Linked DNA regions of Callithrix jacchus. The protein of the gene in region 2 interacts with the protein of the main gene of each other region in a biochemical or structural test. Links are inferred from orthologs where the notes say so. Each region holds a gene or a part of one and is shown on either strand. Other genes may lie near its edges.

Region 1 (4,141 bases), on a different chromosome or scaffold from region 2:
CTCAAAAGGATACCTTCTAATGAAAATTCATCAACTAACTTAGTTATATAACCAACATCCAGATCAAGAAACAAAACATTGTCAACAACACATAAGACTCTCTTACATGCCCTTCCAGTCACCTTACCCTCACCACTACCACCAAGTATGTTCAATATTATCTGCTAGTTTGAAACATTTTAACACCTGGCTTTTTTAAGTGCTAGTTATGCAAAATTAACTGATTCTAGTTTCAACTTTTCTGGGAAACATTTAAGGGACAGGAGCCAAAGTTAGGGTAATTTACAAACCAGGTGATCAGTCCTAAATAATTGAGCCTTGGTCATTTGCATTTTGTTCTTTAAATACACTTTGGGTTAAACACTTCATGTAGAGTTTCAAATTGAGCTCAGTATGGAAAGAAATAACTATGTAGGAAATTAAACTTTTCTTTTTTGAGGCTAAAAGGAAGAAAACTATTTTTTTTTAGAGCAAAACCACATAATAAAATTCTGACTAGTTTTACATCATATTTATTTACTAGATTATGATGTGTTCCATGTATGGCATATGCAAAGTGAAGAATATAGACCTTAAATTCAAAATCATTGTAACAGCATACAAAGATCTTCCTCATGCTGTTCAGGAGGTAGGTGATTTTCCATAGTAAGTTTGATAAATCCATATCTGTAATAAAGATAATTTTATTCATTCACAGGCTCATATATTCTGATCTTATGTAAATTTACAAATAAAAATTTTTATATTATTTATTTGTAACTTAAATGCTTAAATGGAATTGGAAAGATAAGATAAATTATGAAATTATCCATATTCGTGGTTTTTTTATAAATTTAACAAGTAATGCTTTATCTGTGTAATAAGCAAGTATTTATAATAAACCTGGCATGAGTCATAGTACATTAGATGATCTTTTATTTTTATTACTTTATAGGAAAAGTCAGCATAAATGCAACCTTGCAAAGAAATAATAAATATGTTCAGTATAAACACATTTTGTATTTCTAAACACATTTACCTTCCCTTTAGAGAAACAGGAGTAGTAAAATATACTTGGTATGACACGTTTCATACGGTTCTGTGGAAAGTGAGTTGTGGGATATCTTTCCCATTTATTATTAGAGTTTTCAAAAGTAATACAAACCAAGTCATTTTTGTTTGTATGTTTGAAGTTATTTTAAATTCAATCATTTAAGTGTATAATGTGTCAGAGGCATTTGATATAACCTCTGTGTTTTTACCTAACTAAAATTTGAGTGAAATCTAACACTAAAATATAGTGCTTTTACTAAGTGTCTACTTCCTGCAATTGAGTAATGCTATTTAAACCCTTATAGAATGGGGCGATACAGGGAGGTACAGGCCAGAGGATATAGTCTAAATATTAATGGATAATGTCATTGGCTTTCACTTAGTTCTGGCCCTTTGATTCCCATAATGCTTTCCATTCTACCAGCCTGTCTACTCTCTCTTCTTGGATGGCCAGCTATTCCATCTGCTGCCTGGCTGTTTTTCTCAATAATCCTATGACATTTCGCTTCTAGTAGAGCATCTATAATTCAAACCTAAGAAGGCATTTTAGATTATTTTTTCCTGTATAATATGTGCTTCTTACCAGTCAAAAAGTTTTACAAACTTTTAGAAAAGAAAATCTAAAGGTAGAAATTTTAAAATTAATTTAACAAGTGAATTTTACTTTTTTTTTTTTACTCTTCTTCCTCAGACTTTCAAACGTGTTTTGATCAAAGAAGAGGAGTATGATTCTATTATAGTATTCTATAACTCAGTCTTCATGCAGAGACTGAAAACAAATATTTTGCAGTATGCTTCCACCAGGGTAAGTCAAAAGTATCCTTTGATTGGAAATATCTAATTATAAAGTAATGGGTCCCATTAAAACATTAAATAAATAATACTACTTTTTTGTTTTTGCTCTAGCCCCCTACCTTGTCACCAATACCTCACATTCCTCGAAGCCCTTATAAGTTTCCTAGTTCACCCTTACGGATTCCTGGAGGGAACATCTATATATCACCCCTGAAGAGTCCATATAAAATTTCAGAAGGTCTGCCAACACCAACAAAAATGACTCCAGGAACAAGGTGTGTGTATTTTCTCGTTAGAGAGGTAGTAAAGAATGAAAGGGGGATAATTTTGATCCAAGAATAAAAATACAACGCTTTCTTCATTTCAAATAAGCTAGACTCTTGAGTCTATTTGTTTATTTAAGTAACATAATGAGAATCTAGGGGGAAAGAAAATCTATTTACTTGGATGGGTTTACAAATTTAGTTATCAGATTTCCTGACTGCTAGGGGTATCTTCTTTTGTAAACAGTTTTTGAACCAGTTTGGTTATATGTTTCAAAACACTTTAATATTTTTGTAAGTAGTCAATCTGCTAAACAATGCAGGTTACTTTAGGTTGAGTACTTTTAGTTTGTAGTTTATTGGATGTCCTATAAATTTTGCTTCCTGTGGATTTTGTTCATTCTGCTGGTTATATTAAATGTAGATTACTGTCAATTAAGTCTTTAGAGGTCCATTCCTAATCCTGTTGGCAACCTCTTTACCACCTTACCTTGGGCAGGTCTCTATCTCTACTACACAAGGGTGCTGTGGATCAGCAAAATGATTAGTATGAAGCTGTTTTAAATTCTAAGATGAAAGGTTGTGTGCAACTATAAATCATTATATTATCTTCCCATCCAACCACAAGTGCTCTCTGGCTTTGAAGTGCTTCAGTTGACTAATTATATATTATCAGGGGCTATTTGAAACTGACTTTATTTGTGTAAAGTAGGAGGCAGATTAGCTAGTATAGTTAATGTAGTCTCATTTCAGAAATTGTCAGCCCATATGGTTGTCCCTCATGGACAAGAAAAGGGAGATATATTAGTCTTTTAGAAAATATTTGCATGGTATATTTAATTATTTAAGTAGTACATACTCATGGTAAAAATTGCAAACTCTACAGAAAAATATGAAGTAATAAATAACTGGCAATATGATACAAATGCTCTCATGTGCCTCTATATCATCCTTTATTTATTTGGTGTTCTTATAGTTGGATATCTGTGTACTGACTCCTTCTACTTGTTCCAAGCTGTTAAAATGCCACGTTATCTCTATATAAGAAAATTTACAGGCCGGGTGTGGTGGCTCACACCTGTAATCCAAGCACTTTGGAGGCCAAGGCGGGCGGATCACCTGAGGTTGTGAGTTCAAGACCAGTCTGACAAACATGGTGAAACCCCGTCTTTAAACAAAACAAAACAAAACAAACAAAACAAAAAAATTTATACAGTCCCATGCCACTGTATGAAAATGTATACTTAGGTAGTTTTTTAATAGTGATTATTAATCCATATTATGGTGATAATGATGGCTACTTCCTGATCCTTAGTGAAATCAATTGTGTTGTATTCTTTAGCAAAAAAGTCACATTCTGAACATTCTAACTAATAAATCATTGATCAGGCATTAGGAGAGCATTATATTTAGAATGATGACCACTTATCAAGGAATTGGAGGACAAAAAAAAACTTTATATGCACTAGTTCCATGTTCATGTTTTCAAATCTTTGTTGAGTCATGTCAAGCTAATGATGTTCTTCAGCTTTATTATCAAGAACATAACTTATATGGTTTAAATAAAGACAGACTAATAAAGATTTCTGACTATATATTTGATATATGATAACTAGCCTTTACTATACCAATATAGATGCTAATTAGAATTCTGATTATTAATATTCTAAGTTTTTGCCAAATATAACTTGAATTTTAAATGAGAAAATATGAAAGAAATTTGATAACTTACTCATTGATTTATGAAGAACTAAGTAGGGGTAAACTTGAAAATTTCCTTTGCTCTCCTTAAATATGGGGAATGGCAAAATATGTTCTTGCAGACCTATGGTTTTTGCTTTAAAACTAAGAGACCAGGTGAGTATATGATTAAATGGGCACTGTTAGAATAATCCCCAAATGAATATAGTTTGTCAGTGGTTCTAGGGTAGAGGTAGCCTTTAACTTGGAATTCCTGATAGTTCAGAATAGTATATCTATGCTCATCTCTGCAAAATTGTACATGATTTTTATTACTAATTGGTATTTCATCTTAACTTGACAGAATCTTA
Region 2 (4,141 bases):
GTCAGCCGAGATCGCACCACTGCATTCCAGCCTGGCACCTGGTGACAGAGTGAGATTCTGTCTCAAAAAAAAAAAAAATGAATCCCCTATTAAAAAGTTTAAACACTAGCTAGTTTAAACACTAGCTCACAGAAGAAAAAGATATAGGCACAAAAGGAAGACTTCCTTCGGGCAGAAAGTTAGCGTTTAAAAATTAAAAAGGTCATGCCATCAGGGAATAGACAGCTAGCTGCCTGTGAGACGGAACCATAAGGGCATAAGACCAACATTGCTTTGAAAACTTTTTAACACTAGTCTGCCAAGGGACCCATCCTTTCCTACCTGTCAAAACAAACAAACAAAAGACCATTAATGATTCATAGGTAGACAATACAGTGGGAGGTGTAGGGGTAATGTTTTGCAAAGGTCATTACTGAAGATGATGGCTAACATTTACTGGCAGGCTTGTCTCAGTACTTTCCAGTTATTTTTTTTTTTTTTTTTGAGGCGGAGTTTCGCTCTTGTTACCCAGGCTGGAGTGCAATGGCGCGATCTCGGCTCACCACGCCACCATGCCCAGCTAATTTTTTGTATTTTTAGTAGAGACGGGGTTTCACCATGTTGACCAGGATGGTCTCGATCTCTTGACCTCGTGATCCACCCACCTCGGCCTCCCAAAGTGCTGGGATTACAGGCGTGAGCCACCGCGCCCGGCTACTTTCCAGTTATTATCTGGCTGAATTCTTACAACAACCTTGTGAGTACGTATGATTATTATCATTTTATGGTTAAGGAAACTGAGAGGCACAGAGGTTAGAAAACTTGCTCAAAGTTACATAGCTGGAAATAAAAGAGCTAAGATCTAAACCCAGGAAGTCTGGCTCCAGAGCATGTGCTTAACCTGTATGCTATACAGTCTTTCTCCCTTTGCCACCTTCTGTGTCTACACAGGCATGGAGGTCTGTGACTGACTGAATGGGTAGCTGGAGATACAGACACAAAAAAAGGAAAGGGAGGAGGGAACAGGGAATAGCATCAGGATAGCAGCTATTCCAGAGGACAAACCAAGGATAGGACTCTGAGATAAGTACCTGAGGAAAGGGGGAAGTATAAATTTTCCCTAATTCTCTTACCTTGGAGTGTAATATGTGTGTGTGTGTGTGTGTGTGTGTGTGTGTGTGTGTACATACACATATATATATACACGCACACACACATATATATATATATATACACACATATATATATGCACACACATACATACCAAATTTCCAAGAAACAGATATAAGGTGAAGGAAGCAAAGGACAAAGGAGAAATACCAGGTATTAAACTAACTTAAAATCCAGAGGTAGGGAGTAATAAGGTAAGCTAAGTACAGGGAGCCTGAAGTACAGGGAGTCTGTATCAATCCAGTAACATTCAGAGAGAAAGAAACAGCTTTACCTAAGAAATAGAGGTTTTTTTCAGTTCATAATGAAAGTACATTCTCTGTGGCAGAAGACAGAACACAGGGGTAGGTATCATGGACATCATAGTCATTATAGAAGTATATCCCAAACTGTGAGCAAAGTGAACTGACATTCTGGTTTATAAACTCATCCATTTATTTAGGTAAGGGACTAAAATGGCTTTTACATCTCTAGGCATAATAGATCGGAAGTAATTGTAGCATATCTAACAGCCCAACCAAAACCACTTGAAGGCTAGTTAACTCAATTATATTTAAAAAAAAAATCCCCAAAACTAATTCTAGACATATGTTTTAACATTCTTTCTTACCTAAACATCTTCCATAAGTAGAACTGATGAGAGTTCCAATAAATCACATTTTCATGACATTATTACTAAACCATGAAACAAGCATACTGCAGATAGAAAAGGAGCTAAAATAAAGGGGCTATATAATAAACCATAAACTAGACGGTAAGTCTGGGAGTAAATTAATTGGTTTGGCTGCCATCTGAGATAAAGTTGTGCTGGGAAAAAAAAAAAGCACATGACAGGGTAACCTTGTCACTTCTTGCTTTTACTATTTGTTGTCAAAAAACAAACATAACAAATAAACAATATATCATTGCAGGTACCAAACATAGCCTTTTTGATACATAAAACAAACATAATAGCAAGACACCCTTTAATTATAAATGGGTATCTTGTACTCATTAAGTGTTTATACAAGTAAACTAAACCTGTCATTGGGATCCAGAGCTTTTCATGAGTATGCTCAGGTCTCAGAACCACTGTGGGATGATTAATAAGGGTTTGTTGCAAAAAGATGACAGATTTGAAGGGTTTTTCAGCTTAGGAGGAATTTTTTCCAACTCATGAAAGTAAACTGAAGCCTCTTTCTTGGCAGGGCAAGCTACTCAGTAAGAAGGGAGACCTCATAACATATTATCTGGACTATAAAAGCAAAAAACTGAGAGCCTTCCCTAGAGATAAGTAAAAGGAGTATACATCCATGGACACCAGAATACAAATAAGAAACAAGAATCCAAAACTTTTTAAAGGATACGGTCTGTGCCAGGAAACAATGTTCTTCCAGTCAACAGCTCGGCCATTATGCATCCCACTGACCAAATATCAACTGGCAATATTAAAGAGAAATAAAAGTACATGTGATGTCACTGTTATTATACTTGGCAACAAATAAAACCATAACTAGGAGTGAAATACTCAAATTACTATTTAAAACCTCTGAGCCTCAACAATCATTCTCATTTTTACAGAAATAAATGAGCTTGATCTTTACCCCACTAAAGGGCTGTTCAAAGGTGGGGTAAGTCAAAACATACTTAAGAGAAATAAAAAAAAAAAAAAAAAGGAGAAATAAGCTGTTCAAAAAAGGAGCAAAAGAATGGTAGATTCTTCCAAGTAATATTGAGGGGTTAAAATTATGGACTCTTTGTCTTCAGGTATAAATACTCAGAGAATAAATTCAAAATCTAAATAAATAAAAACCCAGTTGCTAAATCACGAGCTTTAAAAGCTGTATATAAAACCCCAATTCCCCATCTGAGCAAGTGAAATGTTTTCACCTGTAGGCTTTAAAAGGATCACTGAGGAAAGAAAAGATATTTCTCTCCCCTCCCATAATCTCTACTTCTGAGAATCCCAAATGCATCCAACATAGAATTAAATAAGGCCCTAAATAACCAGTGCAAGTAATACCTGTCTGGTTGTAATGCATCCAGTTCAGCATGATCTCAGGAGCCCTATACCACCTAGTGGCCACGTAGCCTGTCATTTCATCATCTGTGTGCCGAGCCAGTCCAAAATCCAGGATCTAAAGGGCAGAAGAGGAACAGACAAACTGTTAAGACTTATAAACAGGCAGGGGAAAACAACAACAACAACAACTCTGTTGCCTTTTTAAAAAGGAAAACAAGATAGCACTTTTATAAAGAGATTTCCTGGTCCATGCTTAGAGTGCATGGTAAACTTACAGTGAAAACTCAAAAAACTGAATTACAAAAAGCAAAACAAAAATGTCACTCCTTGGTATTTAATCAAGCGCAATGAGAACTTATGGCCATACAAAGGTTTGCACATGAATATTCACAGTTGCTTTACATAGCCTCATAGTCAAACTAAAGCAAATGTCCATCAGCAGGTGGACAGATTTAAAAATCCTGACATGTTCATAAAACAAAATACTATTAGCAATAAAAAGGAAAAAAACATTGACACAACAATACAGAATCATTACACTAAGCAAAGGCTAGATACACAAAAATACACACTATATGATTCCATGTACATGAAACTCCAGAAAAGATAAAACGAATCATAGTGTTAGAAGCAGATCCATAGTTGCTTTGAGCGAGAATTAGGGGTGGAAGGGTGGGGATTGACTAGGAAGGAGCACAACAGACTTTTTAAAGTAACAGAAATGTTCTTGGCCAGGAGCGGTGACTTATGCCTGCAATCCCAGCACTTTGGGAGGCCAAGGAGGGTGGATCACAAGGTCAGGAGATGGAGACCATCCTGGCCAACATGGTGAAACCCTGTCTCTACTAAAAATACAAAATTAGCTAGGCGTGGTGGCATGCCCCTGTAGTCCCAGCTACTCGGGAAGCTGAGGCAGGAGAATCACTTGAACTCGGTAGGTGGAGGTTGCCGTGAGCTGAGATCAAACCACTGCACTTCCAGACTGGGTGA
Region 3 (4,618 bases), on a different chromosome or scaffold from region 2:
GGTAGCCAGGGTAAGGAGAATGCTGTCACTTCTGTGAGAAAACCCAAAGTGAACCCAACTAATCAGGACCGTGCTTGGGAAGGGAACAGGGGCATTACCTTTCAACACCAGAGGTTCTTTGCCTTCTCTCTTCAGGGACTCGAGGACTATGTGAAGTGGCTGGGAGGGCATCACTCGGCTCGGCTCATTGGTATTCTCATCATAGACTATAATTTCTTTGGAAAAGATCCTCTTGAAAGAGTCCTTGCCTTCCCTACAGGAAATCAAGTCTAGGACAGTGATCTTGCCCTGCTGCAGTCTCCGCCGGCTGATCTTATCGGCACAGTTAATGTGGACAGCTCCTTGGATGTGACTCTTGTTGTACTCCATGAAGGGCCTGCAGTCAATGATGACAGGACCCTGACTTGGCAGGTGACTCTTGCTGCCTTTGGTCATCTTCTTTGCCAAGTCATTGGGGTAGATTATTTTGATGCTGGCTAGCTGTTTGGGGGTCCCTGACACAGGGCTGCCCACCCCACCTGATGGACTTAAAGAGCCTGTATTCTCATTATTGTTGACCATCTGGTTAGCAGGGCAGGTGGTAGAGGTTCCGATGGCAGTGGTGGTGGTGCCAGCGGCGATGGCTTGGGTTTGGGCCTGATTGTCCTTGTCGTAGGTTGCCACAGTGCAGCAGCTGGCACTGCTGCATCCACAATTCAGAGAGCGGGCAGAGCCGCTGGATGAGGGCATATACGTCAGATTCGCAGCCTTGAGGGACACAACGGTGGTGGCGATGACAGGAGGGTGGCTGTTACTGCCTGGGGCGGCAGAGCCAAGGTAGCTAGAGTCTAAACAAAGGTTGAGATCCTGAGGTCGGACGGGCCTAGATAGTGCCACTACTACCCTGTCGTCTAAAGGAGACGGAGGCATGAGGAGGCTGAAAACTGGCAATTCAAGAAGAACTCAAGACAGTCTGTAAAGAAGGGGAAGGGGAAAAGAAAGAATAAAGTCACGTGACACAAAAGGCAGTCTCATCCAATCCCTAGGAAAAGCCGTTGTATCCTGCTGAGCAAAGTTGTCCTAGTTGCCCTTTATCATACCACTGTCAAAACTTGAAACTCATTTTTATGTATTCAAAGAGGATGCAAATCCGAGGGCCCCAATCTATTTGGTTGCTAAGTCTAAGGTTAAATTTGGATGTAATGCTGTAAATGTTAATGAACAACCTTTCCTGGACCTACATAAAAGTTCAGCTGTAGAGAAGGTAAAAGCACAAATAATTAGAAAAGCTGAAGACAGAAGGGAAGATTCTTAAGAGGCGTCTATTCTGAACCTCAGCTCTTGGGAAGAAGTACACTACAAACATCTGAGAAAGACCCATTTGTCCACCCTTGCATGTTTGCCATTATTTAATTCCCTCACTTGCTTCAAAGGCAAAGGGATAATCAAGAGCACTGGCGTGGCTGACAGAAATGTACAGCAGCTAAATATACATCAGGGTGGATGTCAACTTTCTGCAAATCAAATAAAAGGATCCCCTTAAGTGAATCTCCTTAACCTGGAGCTATTTTTGCCTTCCATTCTATTGAGGTCCTTTGAAAAGCACAACATAGTCATTTTAAAACCTCACATATTTTCCTTTGGCCTCTTATGAATTAATCTGCATTTCCCTTTTTTGACTACTAACTAGTGTCCCAAAACGAAATCTTAAGCCATGAAGCCAGATCTGGAAACACCAACCCCAGCAAATCCATCACGCTTTGCTCCCCCACCTACCCCCACCTACCCCCACCCTCACTCCTGCCTGGAAAGGACAACTTGGGCTCTTCTCCCCTCTTCATCTTTCCGGCTGGCACAGACTGTGCATCCTAGAGCTTCTCTCAATGGGAGGCAGACACGTTGTATAAGGTTTCAATTCCATACAGATAGATATCCCCCCTTAAAGAGTACTGATGCCATAAAGAGGGCTTCCCAATTAGCCTGTGCCCGTTGAAAGGGGCAGTGAATTGTTGCCCATGGGATCTATCTCTGATTTCAAAGAGTGTCTGCAAAAAGACAGCTCCTTCCTCCTGTAGGCAGAGGGACACTCTACGACCCGGGCTTGCTAACTCTTCTTCTATTAGGCATACACACAGCAAAGACAGCAAACATCATGCAAGAGCCACTCACCTAAACGAACTTTAAGAGCTATCTGGAAAAATGCCATCTAGCATTTGTCTACACACGACCGTCCCATTCTCTGACATAGAACCAAAGTGTCACAGACGGAATCCACACTCACGCGCGCACACGGGGGCACGCACCCATCACGTCGGCAGATCTCCACCGACTCAGGTTTCTCTCACCCACCTTTGGATGGGAGCGAAGGATCCAACCCCCTCCCTCCCTTGCGTAGTATTTTTTCTGAAGAGCGAGTACTATTCCAGAAGCTATAACTGTTTCCAGGCTGGACCAAGCAGCGAAAGTCTTCGCTATTGTGTTACCTGGTAGGGCACGTCCAGGATCAACAGCCCATTTCTTTTGAGAGAGAAGCATAAGCGTGTTCACAGAGACACACGCTGGGACCCCCACTTTCACACAGAGTGCGCGGCACACACACACACACACACACACACACCCCGAGTGTATAGAGATCTGCATCCCTGCAGCATAGGGTCGGGCGTATATATCGCCTGTGAAACCAACCAGTCTGGCTCAGAAAAATCTCCCAGAGAAATACTGAGCTATCCCCTCTCCCTTCCACCACTGGAGAGAAAATTAAGTGGTAAGAGAAGCCTTCTTCCCCACTCCTGGAGCACTTAACATCCCCCAGCTCCCCCTTCGCTCCTCGGCACACAGCGCGCTAATGAGCCCCGGGCATTTAAAACTGCAGCAAAGCATCCCAACAAACCTCATTTTTTCTTCGCCCAAAATCCAAGTAGACTGCAGAGAGAGTAAACGCACAGAGCAGCAGGAGCCAACAGCCGGAACCTTATAACCCTACCTGCTGTGGCTCCTCCGTCAGCATCGCCTCTCTATATTTCTGTCTCTCTCACATACACACACACTCACACTCACACACACACACACACACGCACTGCCTTACACTCCTCCACTTCCAGTCCCGGGCTCTCAGGAGTAGTGGCGGTGACTTCCAACTTACTTCATAAATAAGTGTAGCCCTCCACCATCTGGCGCTCGGCTTCAGCTATGGACTCGCACATTCAGCCCCCATTCACTTGGCTTCATTGATCTCCAGCAGCAACATAGTTACTTTCTCTTTTGCTACACTGTAAATGTAAGGTTCCGAGGGGGCGGGCCCGCCGCCGACCGACGGCGCGTTGGACCAATAAAAGTCCGGGGAAAGCCGACCGCTACCTCACAGAGCCCTTCGGCCAATGGGCAGCCTAGGGGGCGGGGAAGAAGGCGTGGCCTCGTCTCCTTAAGGAGGGCTTATCCGACGCGGCTCTGGGTCCTCTGTGTTATAACACGGGCGGTGATGTCATTGGCAACCAATCAAAAACTTAAAAGAGCCAGCCGGGGCCGCGCGGAGCAGCTGCTCTCTATTTACATGTAAACCGAACCGGCAGGATGCAGTTAACCCTTTACCCGGCTGCAGCGCCCGCGGGCTGGACGAGCCGCTCGGCTAAAGCTGGCTCCTCCCCCTGGACGGGATCCTCCAACGCTCCCTCCCCGGGGACAAACCACGCTCTCTGCTTTTCCTCCTTGCTATGGACGGATGATCCAAAGTGTCGGAGTAACTTTCTAAAGGAAAGACACTGCGATCACCGCCCCTAGTGGGAAAGCCGGGTTCTCCCCGAGTCGCTCGAGGTGACTTGACAAACCCTAACCCAGGATTCGCGGACCTCGCCGGGTCGTCGTGAGCGCGCAGCCAGGGCGACGCTTCTGCTCCCACGCGCGGAGGGCCCGAGTTCTGCAGCCGGCGGTCCCGGACAGGGAGGCCCTTCAGCCTCGGCGCGTCCGCCTCCCGCCCGCCCGCCCGCAGAGGTCGCTGCCCCTCCGGCTGCCCCTCCGGCCTCCCCGGCTTGACCGCCGCGCGCCGCCCTCCCGCACACCTACTTCGGCGCGCAGGTCACGCTCCTGCCGTCCCCAGGCTTTTCCTCCCCGGGCTCGACCCGGAGCACTAAGGCTGCGCCACTGAGGGCTGCTCGGAGGAAGAGGCCTGAGTCGACGTCCGAGGCGACGAGGGACGCGCCGGGAGCAGCGGTGCGGAGGCCAATCCCCCGGCCGGGCGTCCCGGGTCCGCCACGCGCCCGCCGCGCCTCCGGGGCTTGGTCCCAGCCGGCCGCCGCCCCCTTTCCCGCCTGGAGCGCTGGGTCCCCGCGCCGTGCCAGCCGCTCGCAGCCCACCCGCCCCACAGGCCTCGGGCGCCACCCCTCCGTCCCGCAGAGCCCCTGCCGAGCCCAGGACGGCCAGCCTAAGCTGGCATCAAACAGCCGGATCCGAGAGCAAATAGCCAGATTGAACGGGGTGAGAGCAGCGTGGAGGAGGCGACGCCGCGGCTCCCGCCTCCCCTGACTTTGGTCCGCCCGAGGTAGCGGGAGAGCTGGCCTCAGCGCACGTCCCGGGGGGACAGTGGGGGCGGGGCAGGCCGCCCCGGGCCGGGTCTGGAAAATACTCCTATCGGGGAAGCTGCAGG
Region 4 (4,141 bases), on a different chromosome or scaffold from region 2:
CCCATATTTCTAACATGAATGGCTCACACTCTACTTTGAATCCTTGCTTGTGATATCTAACTGAATTTTCTGCCTGTCAGAGTATGGCTTTCCCATGAGAAGGAAAAGCGTATAAATGGCAGGTTCTCAGTACTGCTCTAGTTTGCATGACACAATGCTACACCCACAATTGATTTTCAAAAAAATACTTTAAAATGGAGCCAATTATGTAGCCGTGATTCCTGCTCATCAAAGCAATAAAATTAAGAATAGCAAAATAAGAAACTGCTTATGTTAGCAATGAGTTTTTCCTCTCTCTTTATTAAAGAACCAGCAGAACAGGTATCACCACCTACCTGCATTGCCAGTACTTGGTGGCCTCTGAGGAGCTCCGGGGGACACATTTCTATGTAATGTGCTTTGAGGTGGAGAGAGCATGCTTGAATCTGTTAATGTTGAGCTGGCTGCCAAAGATGGGGACACCAGTGAACTCCCTGGGTTAGTGTAGGACAAAGCATTGGGGCTGGTCACTGGAACTGTGACAGACATTGAAAAGTTCTGAGGTGGCAAACCAGGCTGTAAATAAAGAACAAGAAGGAAAAGACTGTTGGTTTCATATTCATCTACAAAGTAACTTATGAACTTTAATTTGGCAAGGTAACTCAAGTTACTAAAAGTACAGGATAGGGATAGGTTCATAACCAGTTTACAGATTAAAGCTATTTTCTTTGGAATTATATTTGAACATGAATATGCCTGACATGAGCCTTTTCAATTTCATAGTTCTATATATTAATATATATAAATACAATATAATGTATATATTCTGTATCTCAAATATTCATAAACACAAAAATAAGAGGATGAACCTGATAATAAAGTAGTGTTGTCAAATTTAGGCATTACAAAATATATCAGTCATCAAATAAGCATAAATTGGCACTTTGATGCAAACCAGCTTAATTACTTTACATTTCTATTGGGAGATCCCAAATATAATAGAAGGAGAAAAGTGGGTACACATGTTGTTAACTTAATATGTCAAATTTCATTAATTATAAATATGCCCCATTCTGATTTAACTGACTTTCTAAAGGGCAAAACCAGAAAAAAAAAAAAAAGTAATTATATACATAACAATGCAATTTGAGTATAATGAAAATGCAAAGAAACCTAATCTAAACAACAAAATTAACTACTAACCAAGCCAGTAATAAAAGTAATAAAGTTTTTGGTATCTTCTTTAAATTATATGAAGATTAAATTACAAATATTATAAATGCTAATCTTCCCTCCCTCTAAATTATTCCATATCCCCTTTAAAAGGATATTTTCTATTTTTCTCTTGCATTTCCTCCATAGACCATTTACAATATGCTTGTTAACCATGATAAATAATGTTCCTCTTTATAATTTAAAGCGGGAGAAAATAAAACAACTTTACTCTGCCCTCATTTTAAAAGACTAACATCCAAAAGTAAGGTAACACTGCTAATTCAAAGTTGGAAGAATATATTTTATTGGACTTTATTCAATAGTTTATTTCATGTAGAAAAATTATAATACATCAACAAATATAAAAACAGTGGGCATATGACAATTTTTTTCAAAAGTAAAACAGTTTTATTTGTGCAATATCTTTGCAACTTTAACATTAACCGCAAGGTCAACGACATCATTTTATTTGCCACTGAAGCGTTTTTAAGAATAATAATGGTATTTGCCCCAAAATAACTCCTTAAAGCTATTTTTTTGTGAGCTGGCTTCTTATATAGGTTGAGCATCCCTAATTTGAAAACCCAAAATCCATAACTTTTTGAGCACCAACATGATGCCACAAATAGAAAATTCCACACCTGACATCACGTGTGGAAATGAAGGCATACACAGTTTATTCAGTGTCCCCAAGGGAAAAGGACCCTTCCAGTCTCCCTTCAGCTTCGATGTATCTTTTCTGTGCATGCTCAGACTCCCTCACACAAGCACACCCACAGAGGGTAATCAAATGGCACATGTGTAGGCTACACATGCTAACAGCAGTTTCCCATAATGCTCGGGGCCAAGACCTACAACAGGGGTAGCTGAGACAGTGACACCTTTGCTCTCCAATGTTCCATGTACACAAACTTTGTTCCATGTACAAAATTATGAAAAATATTGTATAAAACTTTCTTCAGGCTATGTGTATGAAACATTAAGGAATTTAATGTTTAGACTTGGGTCCTGTCCCTAAGATATTACATATGCAAATATTCCAAATTTTGAGGAAAAAAAAAAAATCCGAAATCTGAAACACTTCTAGTCCCAAGCATTTCAGGTAAGGGATACTCAACCTGTAGTACAGAATTACTATGAAGAAATGATCATGCATACTTGCATACTTTAGGGCATAGTTTTGAGAGAATTAACTCTGATGTTAAAATAAATGTCAGCATTGAAACTAATTTGTTTAAGGGAGGTTGACCTACATATACAGAATTAGAAAATTAGATCCAGAATAACCATTTTAAGTAGCTCTTGCCAATGGAGCTTCCAGTGAGAACTCTTTGAAGAACTATCAAGCTTAGGAGCATGAGCTCAAAGACAAATACTCTTTTGCTATGGTTAGATAAATGAGTATACAGAAATTGTAAAGTCACTATTTGTTTTGCAATCAATTTAAGAACACTGCTGTCTTAAATTAAAATTAAGCCAGGCTGCTCTTCCTTAGTATCTATAGCATAAGAAAAGAACAAAACTTGGCTGGGTGTGGTGGCTCACGCCTGGAATCTCAGCACTTTGGGAGGCCGAGGTGGGCGGATCATGAGGTAAAGAGATGGAGACCATCCTGGTCAACACGGTGAAACCCCACCTCTACTAAAAATACAAAAATTTGGGAGTGGTGGCGTGCACCTGTAGTCACAGCTACTCAGGAGGCTGAGGCAGGAGAATTGCTTGAACCTGGGAGACAGAGGTTGCAGTGAGCCGAGATCACACCACTGCACTCCAACCTGGCAACAGAGCAAGACTCTGCCTCAAAAAAAAAAAACAAAAAAAAAACAGAAGTGGTGGCATTGTTGCCAAGTGATTTGGGGACATTTACAAACAGCAAAGCAGTAAGCTTAGCTCTACTACTATTGCAGTAACTATACCAAATAATTAAAAATAATTTAGGAAAAAGTTTTGCAACAAACCTGACTACCTTACCTTTTGCTTTCTCAAGATCTATTTAAGAACATGTAAGGTTTTGAGTCATGGGAGTAGAGGGAAAGTTTTAGACATACTCTATATTATAAATCATAGAATTTTAGAGCTGGAAGATACCTTAAAAACCATGAGAGCCAACTCACTTACTTTATAGATGAAGAAAGAATTCAAGATGTTTAGGTGCCCTATCCAAAGGTATTGGGGGTAAGAAGTGGCAGAGTCTGTATCGGCATGTTTTCTCTTCACTTCTACATTTAAAATGCTGAACATGTATAAGACGACTTCAGCAATTTTACCTTAAAGTTTTATAAAAAATACTAATAAAATGCCTTTCTTCCCTTCTACTTCTTGTCATCACCCACTATAAAAAATGAGCAACAAGATGTTTGGTCAATCTCTTCATGCACAAGATAAAAGCACAAACCATACTTTAGTACTCACTGCGATTTTATGATTCCGCATCATATTATCAAATTCCTCATTAATTTTTTTATATTTTTCTTCTGTATGTGGAGTTAGCACATATGAAGTATCAGGGTCTGGGCTGTCGCACCCTCTGTGTTCCTTCTTGTTCAGAGCCTAAATAATGAAGTTAACAAAAAGGATCAACAAATAAAAAGTAGAGGTAAAGTAAAAGTACTTACAGGGCCTCGTTTGAAAATAAAATCACTATCTTCATTTAGTTTGCTGAATCTGTCCTCCGAGAGTGGACTGTGCTCAAAGTAATCGTCAGCATCAGGGCTCTCACAACCATTAAGGCCTTTCTTTCTTAAAGTCTGAAATACAATTGGAAAATTCACACACAAATAATGCTAACTTGCCAAGAGTTTTTCTGTAAAATTTATTAAGAGAGCACAGATGGAATGAATTGAATTATACAAGAGCCACTGGAACGGTTTCTAAATGTTCACAGATGTATTTACTTCTTCAAATAAGCTAAGTATTAGATATAAGTAAAATTAATTCTCCCATTGTA
Region 5 (4,629 bases), on a different chromosome or scaffold from region 2:
ATGTAAAATCTCTGGAGACTATTCTAGAGGCTCACCTGGCAGCAGGGCCTGTGGTGTGACCACTCCTCCCTCACACAGCTCCAGAGCTTCCTTCAGGGGCTCCAATGGGACAACCAAGTGTCTTCCTGCTTAATGGCCATTTATTTAAAATTATCCCAAGAGTAATTAGAGGCTGGTGCGGTGGCTCACGCCTGTAATCCCAGCACTCTGGGAGGTCAAGGTGGGCAGATCTCTTGAGGTCAGGAGTTTGAGACAAGCCTGGCCAACATGGTGAGACCCTGTCTCTACTAAACAAACGGACAAACAAAAAATACAACAGTTAGCCAGGTGTGGTGGTGCACACCTGTAGTCCTAGCTCCTCAGGAAGCGGAGGCAGGAAAGTCACCTGGGCCTGGGAGGTGGAGGTTGCAGTGAGCTGAGACTACACTACCGCACTCCAGCCTAGGCAACAGAGCAAGACACCGTCCAAAAAAAAAAAAAAGAGTAATTAGTAATTAGAATACTTTCTTTTTCATTGGCAACTAAGAAAGCTAAGGAGAGGATCATGAACAAAGTTGGATGACAGGAACCTTTTGGTCAAATGATTCTTGAAAGGAAACATCCCTGGGTGCACGCCACTCATCATTAGGGGTGGAAGTTTAAAAGGAGGAATGATAAGCACCTTTGCAAGGCATTCTGTTCACCACAGCGGGGCAGAGCAGCAGTGAGGCGCTGGTGCAGACTCCCTGGGCAGAATCCTGCCTCTTCCTGGGTGCCCTTAGACTAACTTAACCTCTCTGGGCCTTGCTTCCTCATCAGTCAAAATGAAGATATGAAAAGCACGGTGACCTCCAATGAGGGTATCTAGGGCCATCACAACTGTTAACTGAGGTGACAAACAGCTCTCAGAAGAGAGCCTGGCAATGTGCAAGTGCTCGATAAACACTCCCTGGGGTCAGAAAAGGCACAGAGGCAGCTGCTAATCTTAAGCATGTCTTTTTTTTATTTTTTATTTTGAGACAGAATTTTGCTCTTGTTGTACAGGCTGGAGTGTAATGGCATGGTCTCAGCTCACTATAACCTCCACCTCCCAAGTTCGAGAGATCTCAGCCTCCCAAGTAGCTGGGATTAAGGCACCTGCCACCACGCCCAGATAATTTCTGTATTTTTAAAGAACTTGGGGATAAAAGTCAAACAAAATAACTTACAATTAACATTTACAAATTCAGGCAGAAATAGAAACGTCAGGAGAAAGGCTGGTCTCTTTTCCCCCCAGCGTTCGGTGGCCACCTTTCATCAGTGCCCACAGCCGGGACCCACCACACTCAAAGCGGACGTTTCAAATCAAGCTGGAGCCACGAGCTGCCAGATCTATATCAAGTGACGCATGTTTCACTTCCTTATCGCTGGGCAGAATTGCGATACTTCTGGAGAGTTTTCAAAGAAGATGACAACAGAATAGCTTTGTTTAACCCGGAGTTAACAGAGGTGGTTGTTCGAGAACAGTTAACTCCCTGAGAGTTATTCCAGCATTTACAACCATTTTTAACTGGATTCTTTTCACTCAGGTTTCTGTTTAACCCACTTGATAAAAAAAAAAAAAAAAAAAAAAAAGCCTCTGGCGTGGTGCCTTATCCCTTGGCTCGTGGGAGCATCCCCTCCCTGGCTGCCGGCCTGGTTTCAGATCATGGCCTTCCCTCCTCTACTGAAGGGCTGCTGGGTTCCAGGCTCTGAGCCGTATCCATAGCCCGGGGTCCCAACCGCTAAGGAGGCTAAGGAGGCACCCATCGCTGGAGGTGGCCGCCAGGGAGCTCAGTTCAGGACCCTACTCCATCCATGTGGTCCCTAACATGAGCGTGACCCTCCTTAACCCATCCCCCGGAGCTTCACCAAATAAAATGTCCAAAACACACACTGGCTGTTCCCTGACCTTTCCTTCCTCTGAAAAGCTCTCTCTCCAGGCGGGGCGTTCTGCGGTCAAGATGAGGCAGAGACCTCCCAGGAACGAAGTCCACGCCCTCCCAAAGCCGGGCGAGCCACGCGCCCCTCACCCACCCGCAGAGAAGCCGAGCACTTGTTGATTCTCACGTTGTTGCAATCGGAAAACGGAACAAGGAACCAGAACGCGCCTGTTTCCAGGCAGAGTCGCACAGGGATCCCTAAAGACACTTGAACCCCTTCCCGAGCCCCACTCCACCTCCCGAAACAGGGGGTTCAGGTGGACGCGAAAGGGCACAGGCGCTGCCCCCGGCGCCCGGGAAGACCTAGGGTGGCGGCAAATGACTGCGCGGTCACATACGCCGGCCTCGGGGGCACCCCGCACCCCACGCCCCCGGCCCAGGACAGGCCGTCGGGCCCGGGAGGGGCAGCCGGGGAGACCCCGGCCCCGCGAGCCCAGCGCTCAGCACCGCGAGGGAGGACCGGCAGCTGCGGGCGCGCACGTGGGTCCAGGTGGGCGCAGCGACTGGCCAGCCGAGGAGCCCGAGACAGGCCGCGAGAAGGCGGAAGCCCAAACCCAGGCTCTCGCCGCCGCTCTCGGAGTTCGGAGGGAAACTGCGCTTCACCTCGGGGGGGAGCAGCCGGGACGTGATTGGCAGGCGCCCGGAGGACCCCCCAGCGCGCCCTCGCCGCCCGCACCCTCTCCGCACCTGAGTGGCCGCTTCTGACCGCCGTCCCTCCCACCCGAGACTCCTCCCCTCAGCCCCGGGGCCCGAGGCCCAGCGGTTTCTACGACCCCGGGACGCCGGGCCTGGCTGAAGACCACCCTGGACACCTGTCAGGATCCCACCCCGGCGCAGTAAACCCGAGTCTACACCCGCGCCCGCCCCCTCGCAGTAGAGATCGGGGACAGGGCCGTGGGTTCGGGTCAGGGGCCCCCGGCTGCCACCTGCCCGGTCACCTGCGCTACTGCCCAGGTTCCCCCTGCGCGTTCTCGGCCGAGAAAGGGACTCGGAGTCCGGGCGCCGGGACAGCTCCTGTTCCCAACTCTCAGTCCACGGCTCCCGCGGGGATCGGCCCCGGGTACCCGCCCAGGTCTCCGCGGTCCCCGCTCGGAGGGGCGCGGAGACAAAGGCGCCAGAGCCGCCCCCCACCCGCCCCCGAGGGTCACTCACCGGCGCTGCGCTCGCTGCTCAGAGGCCGAGGGGTGCCGCGGGGTCCCAGGCCCGGGCGCGCAGGTCCCGGCTTCAAGCGCCGGCTCGCGGGGTCCCCAGACAGCCTGCACCGCCTTCCGGGGTCGGGAGCCCTAGGCCGCCGGGGCGGGAGGCGGCTTCTCGCGGGTGCGCGGCGGCGGAGACTGAAGGCGGCTCCGAGGGACGGGCGCGCACTCCGCTCCCGGCCCCGCCTCCCCGGGCTTCCTGCGCGCCAGGTAAACACAGGCCCAGCCCGCCGGGCCCGTCCCCCCACCCCCGACGCGGCCTCCCGGGAAGCTCCGAGGCCCCCGGGCCCGCTTTGCCCACGCGGAGTTCGGAGCCGGGGGGGGGGGTCGCACGGGATTCACGCTCAGGGTCGGGCCTCGGAGAAGGGGCGGCCTGGAGCCTCGCCCGAGACCCTTCCCCCGTGGCTCGGCCTCCGAACTCACCCGGACCCCGACCTTGCCGGAGGGGAGCGAGGCCGCATCTCCCCTTGTCCTCAGGGGCTGGAAACCCCAGAAACTGCTGAAGGACTTGGCGCGGCCCCGACCCTGCAGGAGGAGGGTCAGCCCGCCCTGGAGGCGGGAGGAGCGGGCAGGTCCTCCCAGGCGCGCCCTCCCTCCCCTGCAGCCCCGCCCAGGCCCACCTGCGGCCGGCAGGTGCTCCGCTGGGCGCCGGGAGCGCACCTTCGCCTGCAGGAGGGGCGCAGGAAGTCCGCGCGGACAAGACAGCCAAACGCGCCAGGTGCGGGGAAGCCGCCTGGTCCCGCGGCACGGAGGCGTCGTGGTCTTCGTCACTCTACTGTTAAACAGAAAAACTGACCTGCACACACAGTTGGTGGTCAGGGAGATCTTTCCCTGGATTCTCGGTCACCTGATGGAGGAGGAGGAGGAGGTGGGGAGTCCCCGAATGAGCCCCCGCATTCCTCCTGACCTGCACCCCCACTCAGGGATCTGGACCCGGGGCTTCCGGAGGCAGCCTGGGACCCACAGTTCGTCAGGAGGTGAGGGAGAGGACTGAGCGCTGTCCGGGCCGCGCTGCGAGGCGGCTCCAGCGGGGGTCGGGGTTGCGGCCTAAAACCAGCCTCCCCGGAAGACCCGGAAGATTTAGCAACTGTGTTCAAATGCTGCTTAACTGAAGAGAAATATTTAGACGATGGTACAAAGCATTTAGTCTGGGCCTTTCCTCAGGAGAGATTTTCAAGTGGAGAGGGCAGGAGGGTTCTAGGAATTTGAGGCTGAAGGTGAGAAGGGGCAGGGAAAAGGGTGTCAGAGGTAAAGTGTGCTTCTCGGATTTTTCCGTCCCCACAACCTCACTTTAAGTCAAGGATGAGCGAGTGGGTGTGGGAGGCTGGACAGCTGCCCTAGGAGCACGGGTGGTGACAGTGAATGCAGGTGCACCCGGGTCCCAGCTCAAGTCACTCAAGCCCAGGCCGGGAAGCTGGAACACTGGGTCCTATTTTGGATACCTGCTTTAACATCAGAAACAGCTTTTCTTCTCCAAAATATCTCTTGGCTTT

What was found.
Region 1: of the proteins of MAPK14 (region 2) and RB1, one has a biochemical effect on the other in vitro, tested with the Homo sapiens proteins (3 studies listed by BioGRID and IntAct). The link is inferred for Callithrix jacchus from reciprocal best matches to the Homo sapiens genes MAPK14 and RB1.
Region 3: the proteins of MAPK14 (region 2) and DUSP10 form a complex in vitro, tested with the Homo sapiens proteins (2 studies listed by BioGRID, with this or other methods). The link is inferred for Callithrix jacchus from reciprocal best matches to the Homo sapiens genes MAPK14 and DUSP10.
Region 4: of the proteins of MAPK14 (region 2) and MEF2A, one has a biochemical effect on the other in vitro, tested with the Homo sapiens proteins (2 studies listed by BioGRID). The link is inferred for Callithrix jacchus from reciprocal best matches to the Homo sapiens genes MAPK14 and MEF2A.
Region 5: of the proteins of MAPK14 (region 2) and MBP, one has a biochemical effect on the other in vitro, tested with the Homo sapiens proteins (4 studies listed by BioGRID). The link is inferred for Callithrix jacchus from reciprocal best matches to the Homo sapiens genes MAPK14 and MBP.

Annotation. Positions count from the first base shown.
Region 1 is NC_133502.1:67,484,185-67,488,325, reverse strand, and holds part of RB1 (retinoblastoma-associated protein), read left to right. Parts: intron 1-523; coding exon 524-628; intron 629-1,723; coding exon 1,724-1,837; intron 1,838-1,938; coding exon 1,939-2,102; intron 2,103-4,134; coding exon 4,135-4,141. UniProt on the Homo sapiens protein: Tumor suppressor that is a key regulator of the G1/S transition of the cell cycle. The hypophosphorylated form binds transcription regulators of the E2F family, preventing transcription of E2F-responsive genes.
Region 2 is NC_133505.1:44,389,524-44,393,664, reverse strand, and holds part of MAPK14 (mitogen-activated protein kinase 14), read right to left. Parts: intron 3,267-4,141; coding exon 3,152-3,266; intron 2,568-3,151; coding exon 2,496-2,567; intron 1-2,495. UniProt on the Homo sapiens protein: Serine/threonine kinase which acts as an essential component of the MAP kinase signal transduction pathway.
Region 3 is NC_133520.1:6,883,164-6,887,781, reverse strand, and holds the start of DUSP10 (dual specificity protein phosphatase 10), read right to left. Parts: upstream 3,231-4,618; 5' UTR 3,122-3,230; intron 2,312-3,121; exon of another isoform or gene 2,149-2,311; intron 953-2,148; 5' UTR 910-952; coding exon 99-909; intron 1-98. UniProt on the Homo sapiens protein: Protein phosphatase involved in the inactivation of MAP kinases. Has a specificity for the MAPK11/MAPK12/MAPK13/MAPK14 subfamily. It preferably dephosphorylates p38.
Region 4 is NC_133507.1:10,021,960-10,026,100, forward strand, and holds part of MEF2A (myocyte-specific enhancer factor 2A), read right to left. Parts: intron 3,942-4,141; coding exon 3,810-3,941; exon of another isoform or gene 3,745-3,809; coding exon 3,607-3,744; coding exon of another isoform or gene 3,595-3,606; intron 556-3,594; coding exon 336-555; intron 1-335. UniProt on the Homo sapiens protein: Transcriptional activator which binds specifically to the MEF2 element, 5'-YTA[AT](4)TAR-3', found in numerous muscle-specific genes. Also involved in the activation of numerous growth factor- and stress-induced genes.
Region 5 is NC_133514.1:119,560,392-119,565,020, forward strand, and holds the start of MBP (myelin basic protein), read right to left. Parts: upstream 3,277-4,629; 5' UTR 3,093-3,276; intron 1-3,092. UniProt on the Homo sapiens protein: The classic group of MBP isoforms (isoform 4-isoform 14) are with PLP the most abundant protein components of the myelin membrane in the CNS. They have a role in both its formation and stabilization.